3 linked regions of the Medicago truncatula genome follow. The protein of the gene in region 3 interacts with the protein of the main gene of each other region in a biochemical or structural test. Links are inferred from orthologs where the notes say so. Each region holds a gene or a part of one and is shown on either strand. Other genes may lie near its edges. The genes, in order: nucleoside diphosphate kinase 2, chloroplastic; protein FAR-RED ELONGATED HYPOCOTYL 1; phytochrome A.

The links.
Region 1: the proteins of phytochrome A (region 3) and nucleoside diphosphate kinase 2, chloroplastic form a complex in vitro, tested with the Arabidopsis thaliana proteins (2 studies listed by BioGRID). The link is inferred for Medicago truncatula from reciprocal best matches to the Arabidopsis thaliana genes PHYA and NDPK2.
Region 2: the proteins of phytochrome A (region 3) and protein FAR-RED ELONGATED HYPOCOTYL 1 form a complex in vitro, tested with the Arabidopsis thaliana proteins (2 studies listed by BioGRID, with this or other methods). The link is inferred for Medicago truncatula from reciprocal best matches to the Arabidopsis thaliana genes PHYA and FHY1.

Annotation. Positions count from the first base shown.
Region 1 is NC_053045.1:50,982,534-50,989,726, forward strand, and holds the start of nucleoside diphosphate kinase 2, chloroplastic, read left to right. Parts: upstream 1-4,135; 5' UTR 4,136-4,218; coding exon 4,219-4,455; intron 4,456-4,566; coding exon 4,567-4,623; intron 4,624-4,731; coding exon 4,732-4,818; intron 4,819-6,412; coding exon 6,413-6,493; intron 6,494-6,580; coding exon 6,581-6,693; intron 6,694-6,826; coding exon 6,827-6,876; intron 6,877-7,193. Other genes in the region: GRAS family protein RAD1, read left to right, coding at 1,080-2,585. UniProt on the Arabidopsis thaliana protein: Major role in the synthesis of nucleoside triphosphates other than ATP. The ATP gamma phosphate is transferred to the NDP beta phosphate via a ping-pong mechanism, using a phosphorylated active-site intermediate. May activate MPK3 and MPK6.
Region 2 is NC_053048.1:29,068,566-29,076,081, reverse strand, and holds protein FAR-RED ELONGATED HYPOCOTYL 1, read left to right. Parts: upstream 1-4,685; 5' UTR 4,686-4,902; coding exon 4,903-4,946; intron 4,947-5,917; coding exon 5,918-6,435; intron 6,436-6,569; coding exon 6,570-6,649; 3' UTR 6,650-6,958; downstream 6,959-7,516. UniProt on the Arabidopsis thaliana protein: Key regulator of far red / red (FR/R) spectrum-specific responses essential for the adaption to changing light conditions (e.g. de-etiolation), essentially by regulating PHYA shuttling from the cytoplasm to the nucleus and by directly regulating the expression of some target genes, depending on light conditions and phosphorylation status.
Region 3 is NC_053042.1:41,897,551-41,904,607, forward strand, and holds the start of phytochrome A, read right to left. Parts: upstream 3,093-7,057; 5' UTR 2,650-3,092; intron 2,140-2,649; 5' UTR 2,129-2,139; coding exon 73-2,128; intron 1-72. UniProt on the Arabidopsis thaliana protein: Regulatory photoreceptor which exists in two forms that are reversibly interconvertible by light: the Pr form that absorbs maximally in the red region of the spectrum and the Pfr form that absorbs maximally in the far-red region.

The sequences.
Region 1 (7,193 bases), on a different chromosome or scaffold from region 3:
ATATTTTTATTTTTTTGAGGGATATATTTAGATAAATAGATAATAGATATTTTACGCTTTTATATTATAACAAACTATATTTATCTTTTTCAATGATACTAACAATGTAACAAATACAATATAAATTATTATCTTTTTGAATAACACTAAGAAAATAACATATTAATAGTTAAATTTATTTTAGAGTATTATTAAAAGTAAAAAAGACAACCAAAACCATGTATTTTTTCTTGTATACAATGTAGATGTTGGAATGCCGGGAGAATATATGTGTACAATGTTGGAATCCGGGGGAGTATATGTAGTTTTACAAGGACTGAGAGAGTACATTAGTAGCTATTACGTCACTGGACGAGAAATTACGTATGCCCCAAACCCTGTGTAGACGCGGTTCTTTTGTTGACCATGACAACAGCGACAAAAATAAACGTTATTTAACTGCCAACAAATTATGCTGTACTATTTTATTATCATTGTACCAAGGAAAAAAAATTATAATAATAAATAATACAATTACATCTCTAATTTCCTTTACATCTCTATTTAACACCTCATTTTATCTCTCTGTCTCTCTTTCTGTTACATCAACAATATAATTGAACGTCACTCTATTATCTCTTTCTTTTTCACGATGTCAAAGAGTTTTAGATGTCCACCTATCTTTTCTCTGAGAAATTATGCTTTACCAACTAATTAGTATAACCTCATGCATGCCGTTTGTCAAATTCCAATATCCTGGGAGCGGAAACAATGCGCTCTTGAGATTCCCTTATTCATCAAAATTCAATTTAATTTGCTATGCTATATTTCAACGTCAACAAGAGAAGTTGACAGCATATGTTACGTACTCTAATTTTGTACCAAAATATTATAATAAAGCAAACCTTGTTATTAACGTCAACAAGGTAATTTTTGCTATAAATTGTCCATCATTTGTATGTACGTTCTTTCAGAGCTTTGTTGAATATCTTTAGAAAGCAAACTTATAAAGTGTTATAGACATTAATTGAGAAATTAATATGTCACCTGCACTTTATGCTAGTACCTTCAAATGTGAGGTAGATGAAAATCCATCATTAATGGGTTCTTACTATGCTTCTTTATATCCAAATTTGCCTATTTTAGAAAACAGTGCTACTTCAACATGGATCCTTAATCCATTTTCTGATCATGAAACTGAAACCATTAGGGATCACAAGAAATTGAAAAGATCAACCGTAACTATCCCTATTTGGTTTGCTAATTTCAGCAGCCATAGTAATAGTTTCTTCAATAACATCAACAGCAATAACAACAGTGTGAATAGCATTCCAAGGCTTCATTTCAGAGATCACATAAGAACTTATAAACAAAGATATTTTGCTTCTGAAGCTGTTGAAGAAGCAGCAGAAGATAACTTCAACTACAATAATTGCGAAGCTGAAGAAGATGGTTCATGTGCTGATGGAATGAGACTAGTTCAACTTCTAATTGCATGTGCTGAAGCTGTCGCGTGTCGCGATAAATCACACGCTTCGGTTTTACTATCTGAGCTTAAATCAAATGCTTTGGTGTTTGGTTCTTCGTTTCAAAGAGTTGCTTCTTGTTTTGTTCAAGGACTCACAGAGAGACTAACTCTGATTCAACCAATTGGTAATAACTCTGCTGGATCAGATACAAAATCAATGATGAACATAATGGATGCTGCATCAGAAGAAATGGAAGAAGCATTCAAGTTGGTTTATGAAAATTGTCCACATATTCAATTTGGACATTTTGTGGCTAATTCCATAATATTGGAAGCCTTTGAGGGTGAGAGTTTTCTTCATGTGGTTGATCTTGGCATGAGCCTTGGTCTTCCACATGGACACCAATGGCGAGGACTAATTCAAAGTCTCGCGGATCGATCCAGCCACCGTGTTCGGAGGCTTAGGATCACAGCGATTGGTCTATGCATTGCTAGAATCCAAGTCATTGGTGAAGAACTCTCAATTTACGCGAAAAACTTGGGGATTCATTTGGAATTCTCAATTGTTGAGAAGAATTTGGAGAATTTGAAACCTAAGGACATAAAAGTGAATGAAAAAGAGGTCCTTGTGGTTAACAGCATTCTTCAATTGCATTGTGTTGTTAAAGAGAGTCGTGGCGCTTTGAATGCGGTTTTACAAATGATACACGGTCTTTCACCGAAAGTGTTGGTTATGGCTGAGCAAGATTCTGGTCATAATGGACCTTTTTTCCTTGGAAGGTTTATGGAATCATTGCATTATTATTCTGCTATTTTTGACTCATTGGATGCTATGCTGCCAAAGTATGACACTAAGAGGGCAAAAATGGAACAGTTTTATTTTGCTGAGGAGATAAAGAACATTGTGAGCTGTGAAGGACCATTGAGGATGGAGAGGCATGAGAAAGTTGATCAGTGGAGGAGGAGAATGAGTAGGGCTGGATTTCAAGGTTCACCTATTAAGATGGTGGTTCAAGCTAAGCAGTGGCTTGTGAAGAATAATGTTTGTGATGGATATACTGTTGTGGAAGAGAAAGGGTGTTTGGTTCTTGGATGGAAATCAAAGCCTATTGTTGCAGTTTCTTGCTGGAAATGCTGAATGACCTCTTTTTAGTTCTGTCAATAAATAACAGTTCTGTGAGAAGCTGTTATATGTGTTTGAATAATTTGTTTTTGTGTGCATGTTGTGAATTTAAGACCCTATATTAGTAGCTTGTGAAAGTACTGAAATATTTAGGGCGAGAATAAAACTTTTGATGTAATTCTGTGTGTGGTGTGGCTGCTTGAGATGGAGCAGAAATAAAGTGATGACTAATTATTGTTGTGTGCATAACATGTGTAGGAGTTTGATGAGATGTAAATCCTACTAACATTTATTTGATTCAATTTTTCAATGAACTTAATAATACTCTCTCCAAAAAATTCCTGTATTTGTTGGTTAATGTTGGCCATTTATTTCATGTAGGTATATGTATATCCAAGCCTATCTTTTAGCACTAAGTTCATTCAATTTTTTTTTTTGTTTGAAGGGAATTTCATTCATATTTGTGTTCTAAAACACAATGTACTAGAAAAAGAGTTCATTATGGATAGCATGGCCTGAGGTGGCCAAGAGTGGAGGGGCTGCAAATGCAGAGTGTGATAGAGGAATGTGGGCATATCCGCAAAATATACCTCAAAGGTGCATTGGTAAAATAAATTTTAGACAATTTTCATATTTGTCATTATATATTATCTTTAAAATAAAATGATAAAATGCCAAATTTAATAATTTAAATATTGATATAATGTTTCCCTAAAAAAGTCTATTGATATAATGTTAAAATGGTAGCATTTATATACAAAACATGTACTCGCTTTGTCGCTCTTATCTCGTTAGTCGTTACTTCTTCCTTCGCCTAAACTAGTCGTATTTCTAAGCTTTGTTTGAGAGTTTGGAGGGGAGGGGAGGGGAGTGTTTTGAGGGATGAGAAATATATATAAAAATGAAGAAATTTTTCACTTTTTTTTTTAAAGAGAACTAATGTTTATGATTAATACATTTTTAATTTTAAAAATATTAGTATAACAACAAATATTGAATTTGAAAAATTCATATAAACACTCCAAATCCCTTCCTCAATGCATTTTTTTTTTCTTCAGTTCTTTAAAATTATAAGAATTATATGTTATGAATAAAAATTAACCCCAATATCTTCTTTTTCATTCCTTTTTATTCAAAACACTCCCCTCCCCTCCAACCTCTAAAAAAAAAAACCGTAAGTTAATCTCAATTCTTTCAATTGATTGAGAAATTTATTTAATAATAAAAAAGAATTTGTAAAGAGAAACTATCATCTATTGACAAGTGGTAAATTCTGTAAATAAAAAAAAAAAAAAGACAAGTGGTAAATTCATGAATTTAGTGTCTAACTTTTTTGAAAAGGATAATAATCAAATCAACTTGATATTAATAATAATTAATTGAAGTAGACAGAAGAATTTGTAATTACATTCTTTCTTTCCTTGTTAAAAAATTACATTATTTTTTTCTAAAAAAAACAATTTTTGTATCATTTTTTTCTCGATAATCTTTTGATTTTTATCATTATATTAAAAAAAAAAAAAAAAAAAACAGTAGTATAGTTTAAAAATTACCAAAGTCGCTTTCTTTCTGACTTGCCACATCCAAATCCAAACTCCAAAGAACATCGTTGTTCCACAGCCGCGACGCAAAGAGAGGAAGAAGAGAAATGGAAGCCATGGGCGTGTTTTGCGGAACCAATAGTATCTATGTCACATCCTCTCAATTACGCACCTCAAACACAAACACAAGAAGCTCTCAATTACGCACCACCCAACACCTTTCTGCATTTCCTTCTAAATCCCATCTTTTTTCATCTTCTACTTCTTCTTCCTATGCCAAAACCATCCGCACTAAAAGCTCCACCAATACCGGCATTTTCCTTCCCCACTTAATTGCTTCTCTCGTATGTTCTCTTTTTCTACTCGCCAATTTGCTCAATTTATTATCACTCTGTGTGTGTAATTCTATATATATATATATATATATATTTTTTTTTTTTTTAATGTTTGTGCAGGAACAAGTTGACCGAACTTATATTATGGTGAAACCCGATGGCGTGCAACGTGGTCTTGTAAGTCTCTTAATTTCATATGTTCTGGTTTCAGACATTAAGGGATGAAACAAAAATTAAAAAATTGAAGTTTAAGGTTATAATTGTTGTTTTGTTGAATTGGTTTAGGTGGGTGAAATTATTTCTAGGTTTGAGAAGAAGGGGTTTAAGTTAATTGGCTTGAAGCTCTTTCAATGCTCTAAAGAATTAGCTGAGGTTTGTCTACTTTCTTCAATACTTGCTTGTTTGTATATCCATGATGTCTTATGCTCAATTTATTTTTCTTGCTGTATATGGGGTTCAATTTGTAAAGGAGAATGACAGGGTTCAATATATTACATTGATATAAATACTATCTATTATTAATATGATGGGCTGCTTAACCTAATTGTGCTTTTCATAATAATAAAAATCATCTATAAGATTATTGACTCTTATTAAATAGAGCAGTAAAATGAGAAGATTGCTTTCTCAATTAGCAAACTTATTGATTACACAGTATACGCTAAATATCTTTTAAGATACTCCAAGATATACCATAGTGATGTATTGTTAACACTCTCCCTCTAAGGTATAGCTTGTTATTGTTAATCTTTAAGTTATCCGGAGAGACACTCTTGTTAGGGTGATGCAGTTGCAAGGGTGTTCAATTGGAGAGGAGGTAAATAGGATTTCAAGTAAAGCCAATCTGCATAAAAGACAAGACCTAAATAAAATCAATCTGCGTAACAAGATGGAGTAGAGCCAACACGCTCTAAGATAGGTATAAAGTAGTCGATCTGTGGTGAGAAGGGGATTGGAACAGAGTTAATTAAACAGCTTTAAAACTAGCCGGAGCAGAGCAAAAAGAGATCAAACATGAATGTCAGGGTCTGGTTCCATAAACTTGATAGTACAAGAAAGTCTCTTCAAGATGGATACCATGGCCTAATTATGGGTTTTAGGTAGGGAAGGACAAAAAGAGAGACAGGAGACCTGTAGTAATCTATTAATTTGGTATGATGTATGATGCAAAATATTAACTCAATGTCCTATTAACCCTAATTAAATGAAGAAAAGCACTAAGAGTATTGCTTTCTCAACTAGAATCCATGACATATTGTGAAGTTCATTGAAGGTATTCTCTGTATTTTAGAACTATTCTGAATATGTTTCCATAAAAGTATTGAGTATAGTTGCATGAAATGTCACAATATCAGGTGCTTGAGTAACTAATTCCAACCATCCAGTTACAAAATCCAATTGTATCCATATTTTCATGGTTGCTTACTACTCCCTCCGGTCCTTTATACAAGAAACAAAAAACATAAAACATCAACACCAAGAAATTACATTGAAAATAGTCATCTTCATTTAATACACTTCTACATTTAAAATAATTCTATGAATACCCTTAAATTAATTACTCTTTATTCCATCAACTTACTTACTTTTAATATTCTCTCTCATAATCAATAAGGGCACAAATGAAATTTAGCTTCAAACATATTTGAAACTTGATCAATCTTCTTATAAAAAGGACCAAAAAAATTCTCACTTTTGTTTCTAATAAAAAGGACCGGAGGTAGTATTTTTTTTGGTGGTGGCCGGGGTTTGAACCTCAGACCTTGCATATATTATGCATTGTCCATACCAACTGAGTTAAGCTCACGAGGACCATGGTTGCTTACTATACCAATATGATATAGAGTATAGACCTACATCTTATGTTTGCAATAATGTTGGTTCAGTTTGTGATGTTTGTCTTATGTTCAACTGTTAATTTGCTATTTACACATGGATGGCTTATTGTGACTGTTTATGGTTTCAGGAGCATTACAAGGACCTAAATCAAAGGTCTTTCTTCCCTAAGCTGAGTGAATATATTACTTCGGGCCCCGTTGTGTCTATGGTATAACTCTTTCCACTAGTATCCCATTTTCAATGAGGGTTTCACAGTATACCTGTTGAATGTACTTTCTGGTTTTATGTTTGCAAGGCTTGGGAGGGTGTTGGAGTAGTGCCATCAGCACGTAAGCTTATAGGAGCAACAAATCCTCTGCAAGCAGAACCAGGCACAATAAGAGGAGACTTTGCTGTTGAAACAGGAAGGTAAGGACTTTTCACATCTGATTTGTGAATTTTGTGAGCCTTGGTCAAGAATCAAAATAAGATTCATAGGGTGTGTTTTTCTGGTTGATTTGAGGATGTGGACTGACAAGATCTTATGATGAACTTTTGGCAGGAATGTTATCCATGGCAGTGACAGCCCTGAAAATGGCGAGCGTGAAATAGGTAAGGCCTCTTATAGTATCAGGATTCAGTTTAACCCAATAAATGCAACAAAAAGGATTGTGGATTGCAAAAGAGAATATCATTGTGTGCCGTTAATTTATATATTAGCAGGTTTAAAGAGTATTACAAATACAAAATAAAGCTTTAAATTTCATTTGTTGTTTTAAGCATTTGTCCTGGAAACAACCTTGGTGCAAGGTAAAGTTGTTGTCACGTGACTGAAAGGTCACGGGTTCAAGTCCAGGAAACAACCTCTTGTGTAAGAAACACGGTAAGGCTGCACCAAAATGGTGGAACCCCTTTTCGGACCCTGTTGG
Region 2 (7,516 bases), on a different chromosome or scaffold from region 3:
AATGGTATTGCTAAACTCATTATTGGCTTAAGGAGATTATGTATAACCTCATCAATTACTCAGAAAAGCACCTACTTCATATCCACTTTTATGATCGTCTTATACCCCTTTCACTAAATCATGTGTTTTTAGACTCACCACGTACCCACACTATTTGCTCTATTGAAGTCTCATCTTGTAAACCTTAGTTAACTAGATATCTTTTCTCTCTATTATTTTCACCACTGACATTGTCCAATGTTTTAACTCCTACTCGCAACATAACCCACTTAATCATTTATTTGTCACCCTAAACAAGATATGACATCGGTATTACTCGTCATTCACAAACATCATTTATTACATCATTCATCATCTTCATTCAAAAATTGTCATCTCAACATATATCTTCATCATATATACGACAGTAACCTCTCATCAGTAAACAACATCTTACACGAACATATGTACACATCACATTCCTTTGTTATTCATTACTAAATTTGGAATCTACTCTCATCATTCGTTCTCTCCATTACTACCTCTTTCATTCTAATAATATACCCTATTCTCCATTCTAATTTAAGTGTTTACCTCTCTACTAATATTCCTCGTAGCGTCATCCATATTATCTTTCACTTCCTATTTCCAAGTTATCTTGAAATTATTAATTTCTCATAGGCAATTATCTTCGGTTCATATTTAAGCTTGTTATTATCTTGATGTAAGCACTTCTACTTATGCTCGAACACACTCCCTCATCTATATATGTAATTTAGAGGTCATTACATTTACTTTACACACTAATGGCTTTCTTAAAATCACTACTATTTTTATAGATGTTGAAGATTCCACTAAAAGGATTGTACTGAAATTTCATTAACAACGTATCATGATCCAGGTGCGGTGTTTAAATCATAACTCAAGTTCTAGAGGGACTAATGGATTCCATCCAATGGTAAATTAAATCTAACACCTTTATCTACATCTTTCATGAATAAACCTAAATCCAATTATGTACAGAGAAGCGTGGAAAGATTGGCTTCCCTGAACCTAGGCAGATCGCTTGACCGTGCTGACCCCTGTGTAGTATTTCGATCTTAACTAACGTTTTGGATGTCTTCTTGAGGTGAGACCAAAGCCATTGGAAAGCTAAGACATATACCTACAACTTTTGTGTTTACACCAAAACCCAGTTCAAAACGGAAAATGGTTAAACAAAACAGTTTTTATTTGTTAAGTTGGGCTGACAAAATCGGGGACCGAATTTCCAAAATCGGGGCCCGATTTTTGTCGAATCAAAACACTAAAATTTTGAACCAAAATTGGTGGCCGATTTTGGCTGACAGACAATCGACCAAAAACAGTTCAAAATTGCGTTTTCTTCCAATTAATCACTTTTAACTCACTTAGCTCAATCCCTACCCACCCAAATTGTCCCTAATTATCACTCTAGGTTTACCCTATTGTTTGAGAATTAATTCCCTCTTAACCTATCCAATTTTACTTTCGTTCAGAGTCATGGTCTTAACTATAATCTCTAAACTAGGTTATCTTAACAAAACTCTTTGAACAACAATTTTACATCAGTTCATCATAATTTTTAGTGAAACTCCTCCTCATAACAACAATCATAACTTTAAAATTAATTAACTTCAACAACGCTCTCATCACCATCATAACAACACTCCTACTATAACCCCTTTACATCCCCACAAGCCAATATTAAACCCTAGAGATGAAGAGATTCTCCCCCTTACCTCGAATCCGTAGAAACCTTCGGTTTGGCTCGATGTTGTTGCACTAGGGTTCCGCTTCTCTCTGTCTGCTTTTCTTCTCCCTTTTCTCTGATTAGAAAAACTGATTTCTAATCCCTAATATTCCTATTTATATTTGGGCTCACCATTCGCTATAATTGTCTTCCTTTCCTACGCACTATGATGACATCTCGTAATTACGTAATTTTATGTGTAAACTGAGCACAAATTGGAGTTCACAATTATGCAGCAAAAAGATGAGAAAAACTGAGGAAAATGCAAAGAAGCAAAACGTGTCACGATTTGCCAAAAACGTGACACGATTTGAGAAGACCAAAAACATGTTCTCTGGAATGCAAAAACGTGTCACGATGGCAAAAACGTGACACGATTCTAAGAAACCCTAATTCAGCTGTTTGTTACGATTTGGATAAAGCAAGGTGCGATTTTGAGACTACAAGACGACTATAAGGGCGATTTCTTCACTCTTTTACCAATTCATGCATGTATTGAATCCTCTAATGATTATGTTATTTGTAAACACCATTATGAGTAGCTAAATCCATTAGAAGTTAGGTCTGATATGATTCTTTTTAACCCTAATTGAAACATGTTGTTGCGAAACTCTATTTATTGTGAATGATAATCTAGTTTTTATTCAATTCAATTGTTCTTAATGCTTTTTATATTCTGATCAAATATAAACATGATTTAGTGAGAACGAATGACTACTGACCCTAGCTTTCGACTTACACCTAATTGAATTATTCTAATAAACATGGTTAGTCTAGGAATGAATAATCCTTTATTAGTGATATTAGGTTAATTATCGTGGAACTAGTGAATCATTCATAAGAATAGATGCAGTATATCAATTAGGGGAACATCAATGATTCGAAAGACCTAAACTCATCTATCTTATTCTTAAAACCAATCTTTATTTTCTGTCATTAATTTTATGCCATCAAATCAAATCTAAACAAAATAATTTATACATCCTAAATATTTACTATATTGCTAAATTGAGATTAACAAAGTCCTCGTGTACGAACTTATTTTATTACTTCGATGCATTTTTAGTACACTTACTAAAAATCTATCACACTACTCTTTTACTTCTCCCCTCCCCCACTTATTATAATCTTACTTTCTACACCCACGACTCTTTATTTATTTTGTTAGGACACTCCTCCTCGTTGCATTTAATTTTCTCAAACCACTTCCCACTCCACGTCATTATTTCTATTTTCTCAACAATAAAATAATACTCAAGCACAAGAGCAATCAACAATAAAATTAATCAAAACTCCAGCTATTAAACATCATTGAATTAATTAAAAATAGAAAATTAGGGTGTTACAACTTGCATCACCTTTTTTTTGTTAACATTTCAGTTCATAGGGAAAAGGATCTTGACAATCCGAAATTCGATCGAAATGTAAGTAAAGTTTGGTTAAAAATTGTTCTGCCTTAGAATAGAACTCATGTTCTTTTGAACAATCAATCCTTCTATAAAGTTCATTAACCACTGAAGTTCATATTAAAAAATGCAAATTTTTGCTTTCAATGACAGTCAACACCTATTTCAACGTGAGAATGATTTATTTATAATTATATTTAAATAATGTAAGAATAAATCATGCAATGGATACCTAAAATATAAAACATACTTCGCCCTTCTAAAATAACTTAATAATTTGATCATTTCACACATATTAAGAAAAATATATAAGTGAAAGAAGTTAAAATCGTTTTAAATGTTTTTGTCGAGTATTGATACATTTACAATTATCATAAATGCAAAATACGAAGTATTGAATTAGAGTGATAAAGTTAGTAGTATTAATTAGAAGTATAATTGAAAAAAAAAAGTAATTAATATTGTTTTGAAAAGTAAAATGAATCATTTATTTGAGGAGAATTTTTTTTCTTTTTACAAATAACTTGATTATTTTAATACAAAGGGAGTGGTTTTTTCAAATAATTTAATGACAAAACTCACATTCAATAAACTAAGTTTCAATATATCAAATATCCATAGAATTACTATCTAAGTCGTGATTATGGGATCAAACTTAAAATATTTGTGTGAATCATATATGATATGTGCACAACTAAATAGATTCAAGAAGACCCCAGTAAATAACAAAACTAATTTTCAAAAATTTAACATTTCTGCATTTTTTTTATTGGATTCAATCTCAGAACATTTGGTTAAATTATAAATATATGTTTATTCTCTATAATATTAGTAGTTTCTGGTTTATCTTCCTATAAAAAAAATTCTTTAGATTCCAACAATGTAATTTGAAGATTATGTGTTTTTGAACCTTTATGAATTTTGACTGTACAAAATCATGATATGACATGTGATAAACCAAAATTCTCTCAAATTACAAGGAGGATAAAAATACTTTAAATTTTATAATTTGATATCATAAAAGTCCAAAGCTAAATAATCTTCAAATTGCAGAGTTGAAATCTAAAGAAATTTGTCTCCGTGAGCTTAATTCAATTGGTAGGAACATTGCATAATTTATGCAGGGGTATGGATTCGAACCTCTGACACCCTATTTATCCATATTTAAAATGTGTGAGCTCCAGCTATTAAGTCGCTTAAAAAAAATCTACAGAAATATTTTTAGAGTTGTATTATATGTACAACCAAAATTGAACAACTAATGCAACACCCTTTGATAATGTGAGAAGCACGCAAATCAAAATCATTAAAAATATATTTAAAAATTGCAAAAGAGTTGTTGATTGTATCAAAATGATGTTCATATATCATTGCTCATATTTTTTATGGGAGGCAAACATATATTAACCTTAAATTATAAGAGATGATTTAACACTCATCACTACATTGCACATGAACAACTCACACGTCACCATGTTTACAACTAACAAGTGGCCATCAAACCCTATCCTCAACCATACTTTCCCACGTGAAATTGCTCCAAAGTCCAACCTAAAAAATGTGCAACTCACGCGCCATGGACACTATTTTGGTAATAAACAACAAGAAGACAGAGCAAAGTGTGGGTGATAAATTCTCGGATATTCTCAGCATGGCATCCTTAAAGTAACTTTTCCTTTCCACTTTCTCTCAACCTCAAGAACCTTGTCTAGTTTTGGTTTTTCATCACAGTCCTTGGTTTTACTCATGGAGATTGAAGCAAGAACAAAGATCCCTTCTCAAGTTAACAGGTTTTTCCATCTGGGGTGTTCAAGATTTTTCTTGTTTTTTTACTGTGTTTAATCACTGTTTGTTTTACTTTTTCTTGTATTATATGTCATAGATTTGATGATATTGTTTATCTTTATCTTATCCAATTTGGTATTGTAATTCATAGTAGTGGAATTTTGAAAATGTTAGAAACTATCGTTGGATCCTACACAACCCTACAAAACCGGCTTGTGAGATGAGAATTGTCACGGCTCATAAACACATGTTCATACCATCTTTTGTCTGATATGAGACTCTTGTAAATTCACATTTTTTTGGTACCTTTATGTTCTGGTTTGTCATTTATGCTTCAAATGATTAGTGATTAAGTTTTTCATTTGACACACTAATTAGATTACTTCCTAAGAAAGTTTGTAGATTACCATATTTTATTTTTTTCAGTTTATTGAACTTTTCTAGTTAGAGGTGCTATTATTTGTTTTCAGATCACAATAAGTCACAAAAGAAGCTAATAGGGTTTTACTGGCTTTGTCTAATGTGCACAATTAAATTACTCTTGCATTATGCACGGATTTGTTTTTCACCATTGTATCAATATGTCTCATCATATATCGTTTGATCTAATAATAACACTTATTGATCAAGGTGAAAACAAGTTTGAACATCGTGCAAGACTTGTCTCAGTTGTGCACTTATTTTGTTTGTTTGTCGATGCATAGCGCACGCTTGATAAATTGATTTTAGCATAGGAAAAGTTGTAGGTTAAGGAATGATCTTCCATGATTAAACTGAGTTAAAAGTTAGTTGAATAAAAATCTTGTCTATGAGGTCTCACTTCCGTGGTAAGAGTTTGACTTTATAACCTAAAGGGACGAAGTTCAAATCCCTGATGAGAAAGTTGTAAAATGTTCATTCCATTATTTGTTATATTATTGTCATGATTTATCTTTTTTCTTCTTTTCAACTGACATTTTTCAAAAACTGTTTCCAGATTCCATGTTGATGAAATGCATGACATCAACATTATTGAATGGAACAAGAAAAGAAAATTACAGGGTTTTCAGTTAGATATGCTTAGACCAAAACATAAATGCCGGGTTGAGAGTTTCTCTTCAGAAGATACATCAATGTCTGATGAAAGTCCAATTTTTGGTAGTGCGAACAACCACACGGTTAATAGCAGAATGGATGTTGCGTTCCTCGATGATAGATCCGAACCCGAATCTGCCAAAGATAGTAATAGTTTTATTGAAGACTCTGATACTTCCATGTCTATAAATGAAGAAGCCAAACTTGAGGCAGATAGTGCAAATACATATTCATCCTATGATGATCTTGATTCACAAGCATTCAAAAATCCGGAGGAGCATCTTCAGGTATATGCAGAGTATGTTAAAGACAGCGGTGATGATCAATCTATAGATAAGGAATTTGAAGATTTTCTTTTTTCTAATGGCGTGAATCCTGACAAGTATGTCCTTTCATCTGGACGATTGTTACTAAACGAAGGTATGCATTATATATGAGAGAGATAGGATCATGCTAGAACTTGTGAAATTAGTTTCTTGGTTAATTGCATGCCTTTGATAAACAATTCCGGTTAGTAAATGTTAGGCTCACATTTGATAATGTTTTAAATGCAGAAGCTGAATCAAGTACAAAGCCGCCGCCGCCGACAATTGATCAAGAATTTGAGGAGTACTTTTCCGCACTTATGCTCTAGCAGAAATTATTTAGGGGGTAGATCTATATATAATTCTGACCAGTGTTGTCAATTGTGGAATGCAGAAAATAGCGGTTTCTTCAAATTCTGCTATACTACAGTGCTATAACGCTGTTATTTAACAACACTTTGTACAAACTAGTGTGTTGCAGAACAATAACAATTTGTTCAAAATCTGATACGCTATAGCGCAACTATAGCCACTATTTGACACCGCTGATTCTGACAATGGAAGTTGTATATATTACTTGTATGAAGATTTTCACCTTTTCAGAAGGTAGTTCAAGATTTCTTCTTCTGGCCTTCCCACATCTCTGTTTGCTGCATTATTTTCCTTCTGCATTAATTTCCTTGATGATGCTGTACTTCTCGAATTATCTTCTACTAGATTTTAATGTGGACAATGTGCAGAAGAATAAATGAAAATTATTTGAAATTTTTTTTGGTTATTGTGTAGTATATAATCTTTCAGATTATCATGTTAAAGTAAAAATTGTGAGTATCTGCACTAAAATGAATTGGAGTCTATAGTAAGATATAAACAAACTTCTTTGAAATTTGGAATTTAATTTAGAATTTTGAGCAACTTTTTATACAATCACATAAACTAGAATTGAAACATATAGATGTTGCATCTTCTGAGAGTTTGTTGCAGTTAGTTACAAGTTTTTACATTATTTTGTTCTCAGTTGCAGCTTGTTTCAAGGGGTTATATAAATTGTATTGCATATCTCTATGTGGAGAATGTGAAGGGTGAGATAAACTCAACTTTGTGAAAAGAAAATTAGAGTGATTGAGCTTGATCTTGTATTGTTCCTGTCATTGTGAAATTGTTCCGCGATCTCTCTATCTCCTGCGGATAGGTCT
Region 3 (7,057 bases):
TAAGGCTTGAAAAACAAAGAAAAGAAAGGAGCTTGAGTAAAGATAATAAGATGGAAAAGGAGAAAGACATACCCTGTAGTGCCAGATTAAGCATCTTCTTAACTATATCCGTTGAAGAATCCTCAACAAGTGTGAGCAAATGTTTTCCAATAGCTTCGCCAACCGGAAGACCTGTCAACTCGGAAATTTTGATATTCCAACCATTGACCATCCCATCAACATCCACTGCCAAAATAGGCACTGTTGCTGTTTCAATTAATCGAACCATCTCACTTGTCACTGCTTCTAATTCCTGCATCCCTTCGATCTTCAAATCATTTAGTCTTGTATTGATTGCCTTTGAGTTTAAATCAATCATATCTGTATCTTTGGACGCGTTTCTCAGTATTAACTGTAACGAATGAATAGCATCCATTTCAAAGTCTTTCCATGGTATGCTCCTAGCCTTCACAACTTCGAGGAAAGCCTTAAATGATGATCTTGGATGCATCTTCCTACCATCATCCTGTTCGCCAGGTTCATGCTTTGCACCACCCCATCGGATTTCTGCAGCGGTGTGCGACCTAAACCAGAAAACTATGTCTTTTGAAGTTATTCTAACAGCTGCCATTCCACATACAGTATCATTAAGTTTAAGAGCCCCTGGAAACCCTGCATCAGACAAGCTATCCGTACTCAAACCAGTCGAATCCGTATGGTACTCGGACATCCATAAAGCTATCTCTCTTATCTGAGGTTCACTCGGCGTCGCTCCTAATATCCATAACTTGTTTCTATACAAGAGTGCAGCCCCATCACATTTCACTAGATCCATTATATTAGGGCTTTGTGATACAATACCTAAGGGTGCATCTCGCATCAGCATATCGCACAACAGCGTCTGTGTGCGCAGGATATTCTTCTCAAGAATCTGAAATTCTAATTCTATTTCTTTGTTCACATGGATGGCAAATACTTGAGCCAGAAATTCACAAGCATACCTTAGAGGAAAAGGAACAAACCTTGGTGTAGTGTTATGACAAACTACCAAACCCCAAAGTCTCTTTTTCTTTTGTGGGAGAACTGCATCAGCGCTATCTCCATCTTCATCGCTGTCATTGACTACTACAGCCATAACCAAGGAAGCAATTGAATCCATGTTAGCCATATACTGCAAATGGCAACTATGTGGGGCCCTTAAGGTCGAACCACACAAAGTCAAATCAAATGGGAGTTTTTCGTCTTGAAGAACCTTCACATGTTTTGCGTGACAATCAACTATCATACGGACCTTGTTCTTCATAAATAAAAAGCGCGCAGCCTGGGGAATATCTGTGGCCGGATAGTGCAATCCTAGATATGGCTCTAGGCCTGTCTTTGTTACCTCAGCAATCACCTCCCCATGATCATCCTCGTGAAATTTATAAGCCATCACCCTGTCATAACCCGTTAGTTCAAAAACTTCTTGAACCATTGTATCGCAAAGCCTTTCCATGCTGCCACTAGGCAAAGATTGCAATCTTGTAATTGCTTTAGCAGCAAGTTTGTAAGACTGTAATGCGCCTGCTGCAGTCATGGGAACTTCGTAAGGCTTCACTGGCTCAAAGTCAATGATCAAACTACCTGTAACACGGTGAATGATCGCATAAAATGGCTTCCCAGAAGTCTTGCAATGAACAAGGATAGGGTTAAGAAGCGAAACCTCCGCAAATCCCAGTGCCTTCTGTAGCGCAGAAGCACTCGGTGCGGTGAAGATAGTTCTTATGTCAGTTCCAATGCCAAGGGCAGGGTGGTCACCGACACTAGGGACAGCATGACTCACCATGGTCAGCATTTCGGGTGCATTCTCACTGTATGCAATAACCTTGCACGTTTTCTCGTCTAAAGCTAGCAAGCAACCAAAAGGCTGGATCTGCTTGCCTCTTTGTATTGTATTGAGGTAAGCTGTTGTTACTTTGTTGGACCTCGGTTGATGCTCTCCATCAACTGAGCCAGAGACGCGCACCGAACTTGAGTAGTCAAAGGAACTACCAGACTCCTCAAAAGTTGCATGAAGTTTTGCATCTACCGTCGTCTGAGCAATAATCCTAGCACTATTTCTTGATCTCCCTGAGTTGTTGGATGATTGGCTAGGCCTTGTGGTCGACATTTTATCACAAACTGCATTTACAATGATTAAAAAAAAAAAACAACAACATAACTACCGAGTTAATCCAAACCATATAAGAATCATCACTGAGCATATGTGATACTGCAGAACTTTTGAAGTCTATTACTAATTTACTTGAATGTCAATCTTTGTAATTGTAACTCTCCTCATAAAACATGTTAAGGGTTCAATCAGCACTCTCAATCATAATACTAACAATTATGTAAGGTTTTAATTAGTTATAATTTGAGTTGTGACCCAATCATAGAAGAAAATAAACAAAACTCACACATCAAGTGAAAGATGACAGTATAAAAATTGGTTGTAATCATTAATAATCATAACTTTCAGAAAAAAATTGATTAGTACTGTCAGTTGATTCTATAAACAATGATGACACCAAACAAGTCAGAAACAAATCCATCATTACAATCATCAAACAATTGTATCTCTTTCCTTTTACAAAACAGAAACACATGAAGCAAATTCAACAAGACAAGAACAAATAACAACTAACTAACCTTGTTGGAAGGGAAAAACTTGGTTGATGTGAAAGAGTAAGTACAAGAAAGGAAGGGTTAAAATAACCAATTGTATGTGACTACCATACCATACCCTGCACCTGCAGCAGCAGCAGCAAGCACCGCCCTTGTTTGTCTCCCACCCAGCTGGAGCCTCTACTTCACAACTCCAACCAAGCAAGGTCAGTATAATTCAGCACACAATTGTGACTGAGAAGGGACCGCCATCATGCCATAAATACTATATAATATATCAATTTTTTATGGTGCCCCCCATGTGAAGATGGGAAGGAATGAAATGAATAAAGATAAATAAAGAATATAAAAATCAAATCATCATCCAACACTTAGATAGATTCACTCATCACACCAGCATCCATCTACTTGGTGCTGTTTTTATTATTATAATAGTATATGTAAAAAAATATCTAATTTGGGCAAGTTGATTGTTTGGCTTTGTTCCTAAAATAGATAAGAAAAAAAAGAAAGTTAAATAATGCATGATAACACATACACTTAATTAAACAACAAACATGGTAGTTACTGTTACTGCTTGCTTCCTTGACTTTCCTTCCTTTTTCTCTAACATCACTCAATTCACTTACCATCTTAGATTTCATGTCGGCTCTTAATTTAAATTTATTTTAATAGGGGTCATTAACTTTTTTTTAATCATGTAACTCGTAAGTTCGTCGTATTACCGGACTATCGCAATAAAGCATTTGTTTTTTATTAGGATTGTGTCACGTCCTAAATAGATGACTTTTTTCTAACCATATTTAACTTATAAGCGCGTTGTATTACCACATTCTCGCAATAAAACATATGTTTTTTTTATCAGATTGTGCTACCTTTTAAATAGACGACTTTTTCAAACAATATTTAACTCGTAAGTGCATCGTATTACTTAACTCTCGCAATAAAGTATTTGCATTTTTTTTTATCAAGATTATGCTATCTCCTAAATAGATAGCTTTTCTAACAATATTTAACTTGTAAGCGTGTCGTATTACCGCATTCTCAAATCGACAAAAAAACATCTATATTTTTATCTAAATGTGTTACCTCTTATATGAACAATTTTAGAAGTTAAACTCAATTTCTTTTCCTAAAAAGAATCATATTGTCAATTCTTTTAACACCACTTTGGTACAATGTTCAATAATTATTTTTTTGGTACATGTAGGGTTCATAAATCATTGAGTTTTAAGTCCTAATTCCCCACCCACAATAATTAAACATAAAAAATTGCTAACTAAAGAAAAGTAGTGGAAAAAAGTTAAGATATTTATTAATAAAATTTTTATTTAATTATGAGGTGGATGAATTTGGTTGGATGGGGTCCAAGTCCCATACATTGGATATGGAGAAAGGAGTAAGTTATGGGTGTCACGTGCAAAGGCTCAAAGTTTTGGTGATATGCGGCTAAGTAAGTAACACAAATGCCATGTCATCATATCCTTTGTTTTTAATTGGTGGACACTGTTTATATCTCGATATCACATTCATCTCTTAGATCACATTCACAGCTAATATATCTGTCTGACATAAATAAACTTTCATCAAATTAGCCCATGCCTCGTGTACCACTGTAACGTTACTGACTCAAAGGAAATGCCTCCATATATACTACTCAACTGCATTATTAATCGGTTTCGGGTTTCCTATCCTTTAAGATTTCTTCCTTTTTTTTTTTTTTTTTTTTTTATAAAAAATAAAAATAAAAATTCGGTTTCTTAATTTATTTTATTTTACATTTCTTCTTTGGTAAGTTCTTGTTGTTTATCTTTATGTAAATAGAGATGTAAAAAATGGGACGAGTTAATAGGTCAGTCCATTAATCGACATTTTGGGTTGGGACAGGTTTAAAAAGCTAATCTAAAATGTACTCGAACATTTTTTGCCCATATAAAAATGGGATGGGGCTGGTCTATTGAATTGAGCTTTGGGCCAGCTCATTATCAATATTTCCGTCTGACTTTTATTAAAAAACATTGTATTTTTTAAAAAAATGATCAACTAATTTAAAATTTATTAACAAAAACATGAGTAAAATGTCACCGTAAGCATAACTTAGTTGACAAGGACATGCATTGTTATATGCTAGGGCCGGAGTTCGAACCCTAGACACCCCACTTATTCACCTTGAAAAATGTGAATTCTAACTACTAGGCTACTTGACAAAAAAAAAACATGAGTAAAGAACTATATATTTGAGTAAGGGTTCATATCGAAATAAAATCGTAGATTTGAATCTTGAAAATTTATATGCCAATTGACCAAAAGAACGAAAATAACGTGAGAAAAAAATAAAAAATGAAATTGTTATTTCAAATTAACTTAATGGATGATGAGAGTAATTTTGCCTATTATTTTTATAATAAATGAGTATATATAGTGAATAAATCATGTATGTTCCTTTCAAATTGATTAGATCAAATCAATTTTGTATGTGACCCAACTCAATCGACAATGTATAAATTAAATTAGCCTTAATATTTTGTGTGTGTAAGTGTTTAGATGACTTTAAAACCTATTTTTGGTCCGACTGTTGGGTGGGGGCGGTCCCACTTAGGGACAGGTTTAGGAGGTTGTTTGATTTATCAGTTTATAAGGAAAAGACGGTGGCGGAAATGTGTTTATTAGGTTGGGAGGAAGGTGGAGATGCTTGGGGGTGGCGGCGTAGGTGGTTGGCTTGGGAGGAGGACCTAATGAAGGAATGTATATCTTTGCTTTCTAATGTTATTTTGCAGGAAACTACTACTGATATATGGCAGTGGCGTCCTAATGTGGTAGATTGATACACAGTCTGTGGTGTGTATCAAATGCTTATGAGGCAGGAGATGCATAATCACGATGAAGTTATTGACGCAATTTGGCATAAAAATGCTCCTTTGAAGATTTCAATTTGTGTGTGGTGACTTCTTCGCAACAGGTGGCCTACAAAGGATAATTTGGTGCGACGTGGTATTATTCCGTTTGATTCTCATTTATGTGTGTTCGGTTGTGGTAATAACGAAACAACAAATCACCTTTTAATTCACTGCCCGACTTTTGGTGAGTTATGGCATCATGTAAAAACTTGGATTTGAGTGGATACGGTGGATCCCCAACATATTATGGATCATTTTCACCAATTTGCTTACTCTTCGGGAGGTTTTAAACCCCGATCCGACGATCGTTTTTGCAGCTTATTTGGTTATTCACGGTTTATGTGCTTTGGACTGAAAGGAATAACAGACTGTTTTCCAACAAATTAACATCTATTATGCAGCTCATGGAAAAGGTCAAAATTACTTCATGGAATTGGCTGAAAGCCAAAAAAGTTTGTTTTCCTTTTGGTTACCATTTGTGGTGGCAGCAACCTCTTGCATGTTTGGGCATTGGTTGACTGTCTTTTTTTGTACTATTCAAGATGCTTGTTGTTTTTTGTTCTGCTCTTCTATGCACTCCTTGTGCTAGATAGTAGAACCGTTTCATTGTGGTAATATATCTCATTTTTGTTTGTTAAACAAAAATGTTTAGATGACGTTTACCACTCATTTTATGGACAAAAAGAAATATTAGATCAGTCTTTAAATTAAATTCAAAATCACAACCTTTATATTGTGAAACTAAAAAAGAATGTAAAGGAAGTTAAATTATTGATTTGGTGAAATTTACTTAGATTCATCAAAAAAGAAATGGGACTGACAGGAATTAATCCACATCACAATACAAAAATTCAATGTTTTTTAAGTGACAATAAAATTGAATGTTGGTAGCAAAATGTGATAGGTAAATGCAAGAACCGATGAATAAAAAAAAGTATTCTCTTCAGTCACAATTAAAAGGAAAAAAATTACTTTTTAAATTCATTAAATAAGTGATGTATGTGACCTTTAATATAGATCACATACATCATTTATTTAACGAACCTAAAAAGTAATAACGTCAAGGTCGTTAGTAATTCGCCCATGATAACTACTATTATCGACAAGACGACAACCAATTAATGGATAAAGGTACGTACTAGTTTTGATGATAACGACTTTAGCAAGACGGTTATTTTCTTTTTTGAAACTTCAAAGGTCGACTAATCCAAAATCCAAATGAACAATAGTAGTATAATCGTTTACTGGTATCAAGTCAAATTATAAGCAGAACAAAGTCAATTTTCCGGGATCATCCACCAGTCATCTATGTCATTTTCCAAGTATAAATGCATTAAGACACATCTCTTTCAAATAATAAAATTAAGACACATCATGATTTATAAACAGTAACATACGGGATCAACATTGCCATATGGTAGCTTACTAGCCAGCAGCTATAACCTTTGTCGTCCAAGAGAGAGTGGGCAAATCATCTAAATTCTCAAACATTCCTCCCATCCACTCTTATCCTAATAAATAAAAAAGAAATGGCC